Linked DNA regions of Mus musculus. The protein of the gene in region 2 interacts with the protein of the main gene of each other region in a pairwise test. Links are inferred from orthologs where the notes say so. Each region holds a gene or a part of one and is shown on either strand. Other genes may lie near its edges.

Evidence for each region.
Region 1: the proteins of Mid1 (region 2) and Ubtd1 interact in binary tests that used the Homo sapiens proteins (3 or more experiments, as listed by UniProt). The two-hybrid records come from large-scale screens. The link is inferred for Mus musculus from reciprocal best matches to the Homo sapiens genes MID1 and UBTD1.

Annotation. Positions count from the first base shown.
Region 1 is NC_000085.6:41,980,578-41,984,562, reverse strand, and holds the start of Ubtd1 (ubiquitin domain-containing protein 1), read right to left. Parts: upstream 2,801-3,985; 5' UTR 2,625-2,800; coding exon 2,555-2,624; intron 1-2,554. Other genes in the region: MMS19 nucleotide excision repair protein homolog, read left to right, coding at 3,450-3,564. UniProt on the Homo sapiens protein: May be involved in the regulation of cellular senescence through a positive feedback loop with TP53. Is a TP53 downstream target gene that increases the stability of TP53 protein by promoting the ubiquitination and degradation of MDM2.
Region 2 is NC_000086.7:169,878,205-169,882,418, reverse strand, and holds the start of Mid1 (E3 ubiquitin-protein ligase Midline-1), read right to left. Parts: upstream 2,801-4,214; 5' UTR 2,510-2,800; intron 1-2,509. UniProt on the Homo sapiens protein: Has E3 ubiquitin ligase activity towards IGBP1, promoting its monoubiquitination, which results in deprotection of the catalytic subunit of protein phosphatase PP2A, and its subsequent degradation by polyubiquitination.

The DNA of each region.
Region 1 (3,985 bases), on a different chromosome or scaffold from region 2:
AAAAAAAAAAATTAGCCGGGTGTGGTGGTGCACGCCTTTAATCCCAGCACTCAGGAGGTAGAAGCAGGCGGATTTCTGAGTTTGAGGCCAGCCTGGTCTACAAAGTGAGTTCCAGGACAGCCAGGGCTATACAGAGAAACCCTGTCTCAAAAAAACCAAATAAACAAACAAGCAAACAAACAAACAAAAGGTAGGATGTGGTGGTAGACTCCTATAATCCCAGCACTCGAGGCTGGAGAGAGTTCAAGGCCAAGCTAGGGTACATGGCTATACTAGGTACATAGGGAGTTCTAGGCCAGTCTGTTTTCATTATATTGCAAATGTCCTGTCTCAAAAGAAAAGAAATGAAGGCAAATAGGATGGATGGATGCATTTGGGGTTTGAGGTGTAATCTGAAGAAAGACTCTCCTAAAGTGGAAAAGGTATGAAAACATTACTGGCCTTAATGTCAAGGAAGAGGAAGCAATCGGGTTCTAAAAGGACCAGGCCAGACTTGCCCAGTCTTGAAAGTTAAAGGCCTTGTAGAGGTAGAAGGTACTGAACAAAAATAACTGCAGTCTGGACACACAGTGGCTTCTAGATGGAGTGTATGCAGGTATGAGATGAATGACTGATGGTGAGCTTGCCCTCCCTGGAGCTCACTGCAGCCTGGGGGAATAGCCGGGCTTGAGATGGTTTGGGAAAGGGCATGTCTGTAAGACACAATGACTCTGATGGAAGAACTAGCAGGCTCCTGTGACGAGCTGACAGAAAGCTGAGGACAAGTCAGCAGAGTACAGGACAGCGGGTAGAGATGTGCAGAACCTGTTGTGGATGGGTTGAGCCCCAGGATATCCACAGTACTGATGTCTGCCTAGACATGGGGGTCTGGGAATCAAGCTGGTAACTAAGAGACAGGGGTCTTCCTGATGGACAAAGAGTTGTGCAACTAAGTAAGCTATCTCTGGGAGGGAGTGTCATGAGGAAACCCAGATTGTCAGACTGAGCCACTGGTGTATAACAGGTGAGGGTGGGCAAGAGAAATTGAAAAGGAAAATCGGAGGATAGAGATGCAATTCAATGGCAGAATGCTTCTGTAAACTCCTGACCCTCAAAACTGGAAAAAAATAATGATAGAGAAAGGAAACCAGGATAAGGATAGCAGAGATAGAAAGCAGTTCGGAGACTGAGGTAGGAAAGGGTAGTCAACCATAAAAACACGAGGCAAGATCAAGGATGGAGCATACAAGAAATCAAAATTATTTGCTTTCTGCTTGATCAAATGTATGAATGATATAAATGAATGAATGAATGAACGAACAAAAGTCCTTGGTCAGAAGAAAGGCCAGGGTTGCTTTCAAAAGGAATTTGTAAGTTTTACTCCATCCTCCCATAAAAACGTTTCTGCTTGCACAAGTCATCCTGTCCAGCACACACACACACACATCCTTCCCAGCTTCCCCTGTGCTTCTCCCCATCTTCCTTCCCAGTTTACACAAGCAAAACAACACACCTTCAGTGTCAAAGCAGACAGGAAACTCCAACTAGAGTTTCCACTTCATTAACAACTGCGCCTGTGGCTCCTCTTACATAAAGGGGTATGTGGTAACAAGGGGGAAGAGACCGGATTCCAACCTCAGTTGCACTTCTAACTCACTGTGTGACTTAGGGGAAGCTGCCCAACCTCTCTGGATCTGTGTTTTTACATAAAAGAGAGGTAGATCTGGAAATTCAGTCCAGTGTTGAAGGTCTTTTTGCGCGCCACAGTTTATCATTTGCATAAGTTCTTTGCAACACCCCCAGAGAAGAGAGTACAAGACAGGGAAATGACCCTCAAACGAAGCGCCAGGACAGGGCTGGTGTACCAAGAAAGTGAGACCGCGCTACTGGAGCTTCGAAGATTGCCAGAGAGCAGATCCCATTCTCATGGCTGAGAGGGATCCCATTCCAAGAGCTGAGAACGCTCCTAACAAACACGAAGGCGACGCTCACCCCGCACCCCACCTTTCCTAGACTCCCAGACAGCCACCGAGGCTCCAAAAAGCCGTGTGGAGAGGTGGGAGGAAATAAAGATTTCTATTTTCCATGGTCCTGCACTGCTTTTTACAAGTCGGATTCCCGCAGACAACGACCTGCAGCCCGATAATGACACAGTGACTCGCTGGAATGAGCGACTGTGTTCGCCTCGATCGCTCCGACTTCTGGGGACGCAGGCTGCCCACGCCGCGCCCCGGCCGGCCGCCGGCCGACCCTGGCCGGGGCTGCCAGATCCGCGGCGCACTCGCTTGGCCCCCTCCGCCAGCCTCGTCGCGGTCTGGAAACATTTCCTGCCCCCGCCCCCATCCCCAGCTTCCCGGTGGGAGCGAGTTGGCCTCCCGGCCGGGTCAGCGCTCGCAGTTACCCCAACTCGCTTCCCAGACAGCCCGCGCCGGGGAGGGCCCCGTCTGGCTCCGAGAAGCCGTGGGGGAACCCAAGCGCCCGGCGCCGAGCGAGGTCGCTCGGGAACCCCAAGGTTCGGGCAAGGCAAGGGCCAACTGGCAGCGCGCCGGGACCCCGCTGCCTTTCCTGGCGTTACCTGCTCGCTTGCGGGGGTGTCCCGGAGCAGCCGGCCTCTCCCGGCGCTGTCTCCCCACGCAGTTGCCCATGCTGGCTTCTCAGCCGGTCCCCCATGCACCAGAGGCGGCGGTCGGCCGGCTGCTCCACGCTGCTGCCCCGAACCGCGGCGTCCCCGGGTCAACGACTCCCGCAGCCCGACATCGAGAGCTCCTGGATCTCCCCTGGGGAGCGCTCTGCCCGACGCCGGCTTCGCCACAAACTTTGCGGGCCAGCGGAGAGGGAGGTGGCCAGGCCAGGGGGGCCCGCGACAGTGCCCGGCCAGAGACCAGCCCGGCTGGAGGGGCGGAGGGAGGGGGCGGACACCGCCGCAGCTACTCCAGGATCACTCCGAGCTCCCAGCTGGGGCCGGCCCCCCGGAGCCTGTCACTCACCTGCCTAACCCCGCCCCGGCCCGGCCCCGCTCCCTTCCTCCCGCTTGGGGTGGCCGCGCCACGGTCGCCAGCCGCCCCAGGTGCGCATGTGACCGACGGCACCGCCCCTCGGGCCGGGTCTGGTTTTCTCATTGGCTTTTCCCAGGATGCGTACCGCCCCTCGGCCCCACCCAGCCAGGTGCCCGCCCTGTCGCCCGTCTCCCGGGGAGAGCGGCCGGGAATTATGCGCCCTCAACCGCCCCGGCTGCGTGCCCGGCAGTCACTTCCCCTCCCGGAGCCGCGCCCCGGCCCAGGCCCCGCCCTCTGGGGAGGGGCCGTTAGGTCCCTGAAGGGACTGCCTGGCCCAGAGCCGGCAGGCACGTGACCTGGAGGTGCCCCGCCCCTGAAGTCTGCGCCCAACTATTGGCCATGGAGGCGCGTGCGCGGAGAGACACATCTCGTAGCCACACCCACTTCCCCCTCCCACAATCTCTGGCTAGCGTCATGGCTGCCGCCACCGGTCTGGAGGAGGCAGTGGCGCCTATGGGCGCCCTGTGTGGCCTCGTGCAAGACTTCGTCATGGGTCAACAGGAGGGGCCCGCTGACCAGGTGGCTGCAGGTATGGCAAACAACGCCGCGAGGCTTCTGCAGGGGCCGGACCGCAGGGAGCGGCCTCAGCACCCGCGCGCGGCGGGAAGGGAGTGAAGGGAGAGGTGATTGTGATTGGTCCTCTGGCCGCTCTGCCCCCGCTGGGAGCGCTACTGCCCTAACAAGTTGGAGAGTCGCTTGCATCTTCCTTAAAGCTTTCTTTACATTCCGCATCTCGCTGTGGTCCATAGAGAATCATTACATTTCTCCGAGAGTAATAGACTTGTGCAAGGCACAGACGAGTCCGGAAGTGGAGCTGGGACTTGGACTCGGGTGTTCTGGTCCAAACCTGGTGCTTGCACCGCAGGACCGCGTTGTTTGCGGAGTGTTAGGTGAGAAGGTCTGGGTTCCAAGGGTTACGCTCCGGCCTCTTGCCTTCCTGGAAGTAGCGT
Region 2 (4,214 bases):
TGCCTTTCCTTTTGCCTGGGAACGCAGCAAATTCCTTCTCAAAGAAGAATCTGAAAAGTTTTCCATTTTTTTTTTTTGATCAAAGTGCCAAGAGAGGTTGGCACACTTTAAAATGACTTCCTGATGAACTTGTCAGGTTTATGTTTGTTTGCTTGCTTGTTTCATTTACCTTATAAGAATTTTGACCTGCACTGTTTGTGTGCTGACAATCTGGTAAGAGCCCAAACTTTCTGAGTCTTACACACAAACATGTAGCCTTCTAATTGTGTTGGCGAGTTTTGGGCTATGGAGAATTTCTAACTAGTTAGTGGTAGGGATCTGTCCTGGCTTGCCACCCCACTGTTCGGCATTTGCACAGCCCTAGGGACGGATCACTTACCAGCAAGAGGATTGTGTTTCATTGCTGAGCTGATGACACATGGGTTGGTTTGATAGCTAACCCTGCAAATACAGCCAGGGGCTGCTGGGCCTAAGATGACAAATTGGTTGGTGGATGTTATTCCTCTGCCTGAATGAAGTGGTAAGGTCTCTTCCCCTCCCCCAACAAGAGAAACAAGAACAAATCTGGGACTCGCCCATGCAGTAATGCTACCATCTCATGCCTGGTTTCTTGTATGAACAATGATCGCTACTCTTGCATCTCCTCCCCCAGTCCCTCCCTCTTTTCAACTACCCAATAGGCGAAAGAACAATGTTATATATGTATCCAGAGATGTGGGATGAAAAGATGGTCATTCATTAAATAACTAAGGAGTTACTACATGCCTACTTGTACAGTTAAAACTTCAACACTGGGCTGTTTGCCAACTTCATACAAATGCCACAGTTCCACATGGGAAAAATCATCCCAAGCTCTGGACAAGCCTGCCTGAGGCATCAGACAGAGGGAGTGTCACCCCATTCCAGAGGAACTGTGTGGGCACAAAGATTCTAAAAATTGAGTTCACACATCACCGAGGACAAGACAGGTGGCTTCACACAGCATCAAATAACTTCTTTGTTCCGGCTTAGGACCTTTGTGAAAAATAGTATTGTGTACCTATTCTCTTTCTTGCTCCTATCCAGCAAGCCTCCTTGCCCCTTTTGTCTATCTCATGTGCTTGCTAGAAATTCAAAGAATGAGGCTGCTCTATAAGATCGCAAAACTTCGAGAAAGCCAGCCTCTGCACCACTCTCCAGCTAGGCAGATGCAATTTGCTGAAAGCACACACACAGTCTTTCATGTGCTTTTTTCTGTACTCCTGCAATTTCCCAAGCTCGTCCAGAAGAGCAAGTTAGCGAATAAGAAATGTGAGGGCCTTTGCTCCTGACCTTTCATGCAGGGCCTCTGCTTTACCTCTGCGGCAGTGAAACGGAAAGTCGTAAACCCCTTGGCCCAACCACTCATGGGAAGGTTTACTTTCGCCTAAAGTGAACACTTTGGGGTGGGGCACACCCAACTCAACTGGAAGAAAAAAGAGAAGAGGTTTTCCGGTGACAAAACAGATGCTCAGTTTCCCACCCGGAGTTACTCCGCTCTGGCAAGAGTAACTAGCATTCCTCCCCGGGAGTCTCTGTCCTTCCCAGTCACTGAAAGGCTTTTACTTTTGTCTTTCCCTTGTGAGTATCGATCTCGGCAATAAAACATTGACGTAAGATTTTTTTTTCCAACTGTGATAGAGTTGTAAATTACACCCTCTTCTAGGCTTTGTAATCCAGTCTTTCCTTTTCTCTTTTTCCTCAACGGCAAAGCTATAAACCTCATAAACTTCTACCTAAGTTGATAAGGAATTGTATCCCTATGCCCTAGAGCGACGGAAGAAGCTGCTGGCTTGGAATTCTTCACAGAGACACACTCAAGACCGGTCTCCCTTCAGTACTTCCGGGACTGTGTTCTTACGTCCAGCAGCAACACAAAATACAACTCCTAAAGTGCTAGAACGGTTTTTAAAAAAGTCTGTAACACCCCCCTCCCCCCTCCCCGCGCCTGCCTCCGCTGGAAGTGCAGCTTGTTCCATCCAGACTGCTTTCGCCTTCTCAGCCTCGGACACACAGTAAAGTGCTCAAAACGTGAAAGCAAAATAAGATAAGAGTCCCAGCGTGCTTCTTTGTCAGACTGTGCAGTTGTCTTTATTCTAACCTGAAGCATAATAGGGTAGAGGCTAAAAGCTTGAGATGAATCCAGCACAATACATTCCAGAGGCCCGCAAACTGGAATTGATTTGCATATTCCACAAACCGCTCTGAACCTTTTACAAAGACTGCCTGACATCAGCAACCACTCTTAGAAGCAAAAGCTGGCGCGGGTAGGTAGTAAGGACGAGGCAGTGGGGTGCCGGCAGGTGATGTGCTTTCTAAGGTAGCCTTAGGAAGAGAAGGCAGTCCCCTCCTTCCACCTAATGGATCTGCTGGAACGCTGCGTTTGATCACTCCGCCCGCTCTGGGAGTAACAGGTCGCAGGGGCCCCAAGCTAAAGCCCTCCTTCTGTGGCTGGCGCCAGCACAGCTACAATCACAACCCCCAAGCTTACCTGCCTCATGTTTAGAATTCCATGACCCATCCGGCAGGGAGCAAGCTGCTCGGAAGCGCACCCGCAGGCTTCCAAGCGCAGACACCAAAGCCGGCAGAAAAGCCCACAAGACAAAAGCAACTCGGTCGAATCCACAGGCAGCAAAGAGCACGTTTTTCGTCCCCCTCCCTTTTTATTCTTTGATCTGCTTCTAGACGCTCTCTACCCAAGACAATGTCAAGTTTCTCAACCTTTCCTTTTCCAGCCTATGAAAAGTCGGGCGCAGGCTAGCGAGGACCGCCTGGCTCTTATTTCAAATCAGTTCACAGGGACGTCGTAGGCGGCGGGCTCCGGTCGCGGAGAGCCTCGCCAATCAGGAGCAGTGGGTGGACCTGGGTGCAGGAGAGGCTGCCTTTACCAGGATTAGGGCAGCTTTCAGGAGTCAAATGACTGGAAGCAGCTGGATGTTGTGTCAGAGCTCCCCAAAGTAAAGGATGAGTTCTATTCTTGTCTAACAGACTGCATCTGCTCAAAGCTTAACTAGCTCCGGGCCTTAAACCCTTGCACTTTAAGAGCCCCTTAAAAGCATTAAAGCATTTTAAAGGTGAAGAATGATTTCAGCGAGAAAACCTCAACCCTCAGGACCCAAAGATATTTTTTAAAGTGTATCTTGTTCTAGATACCTAGTTTTGTAAAAACAGTGAAGGGAAAAACCACACTGCTGTAAGTATCACTCTAACTGAAATAAGCAACCAAGACAGTTACCCACCTCGTCTTCACATAAACTCTATATCCAACCTAAAGAAGCAAATGTTAATGGGACTGAGCACACAAACATTTTGAAATACAGGACTTGAGGAAGAATCTTCATCGATGGTGACTGAAAGCACAATTTCAGATAAAACATCTCCTAATTAGAACAATGAATACAGAAATTTAGTTAATGAAACTTCTTTTTACATAAGTGTATGTACCTCTTTGAGTGTTTGAGTTTATCAGTGCTAAACTGGTAAGCTCACTAATTTATATATATATACAAAAAATATATATATACAATATATATATATTCCCAAACAAGTGCTCACAGTTTGAGGATAATCCAATATATATATTAAGTTTTTGCAGTATTAGTAAATAATAACAGATAAAATAATGATTTAGTGGTTTCAGGAGTGCTGGAGGTGTGGTTCAATATGTGTGAGCTTGGCTGAGTTCTCTGAGATTTTGGCAGCAGGGCACCAGCACCTGGGAGTCCATAGCTCTGCCTCAGCTCCCCACTGAGAAGTTTTAGAGTCCCCCTAATCACACCAGCTGCCCTCAATCCATTTATTTGTTCTTCAGAGTCATTCACTATGGCCTAGACCCAAGCTTGTTTAGCCTTTTCACATGGTGATACCTTACTAAAACAAATCACACACACACACACACACACACACAAAACACACAGATACACACAACACACACACTGAGAGAGAGAGAGAGAGAGAGAGAGAGAGAGAGAGTCCTAATGTTTTAAATACATTTATAATGTTGTGTTGCACAGTATTCACAGTCATCCTTAGCCACATGCATCCTTAGGGTCATGGGTTAGGTTGAACAAGGTTGGGTAGATGAAGGCTTCTAAACTTTGAAATTACTAGCATTTGCAGACAAATAATTCCTCACCATGGACCTAGCTGTTCAGTGTGTTGTCAAATATTTAGCAACATCAGGACCTTTGCCCACT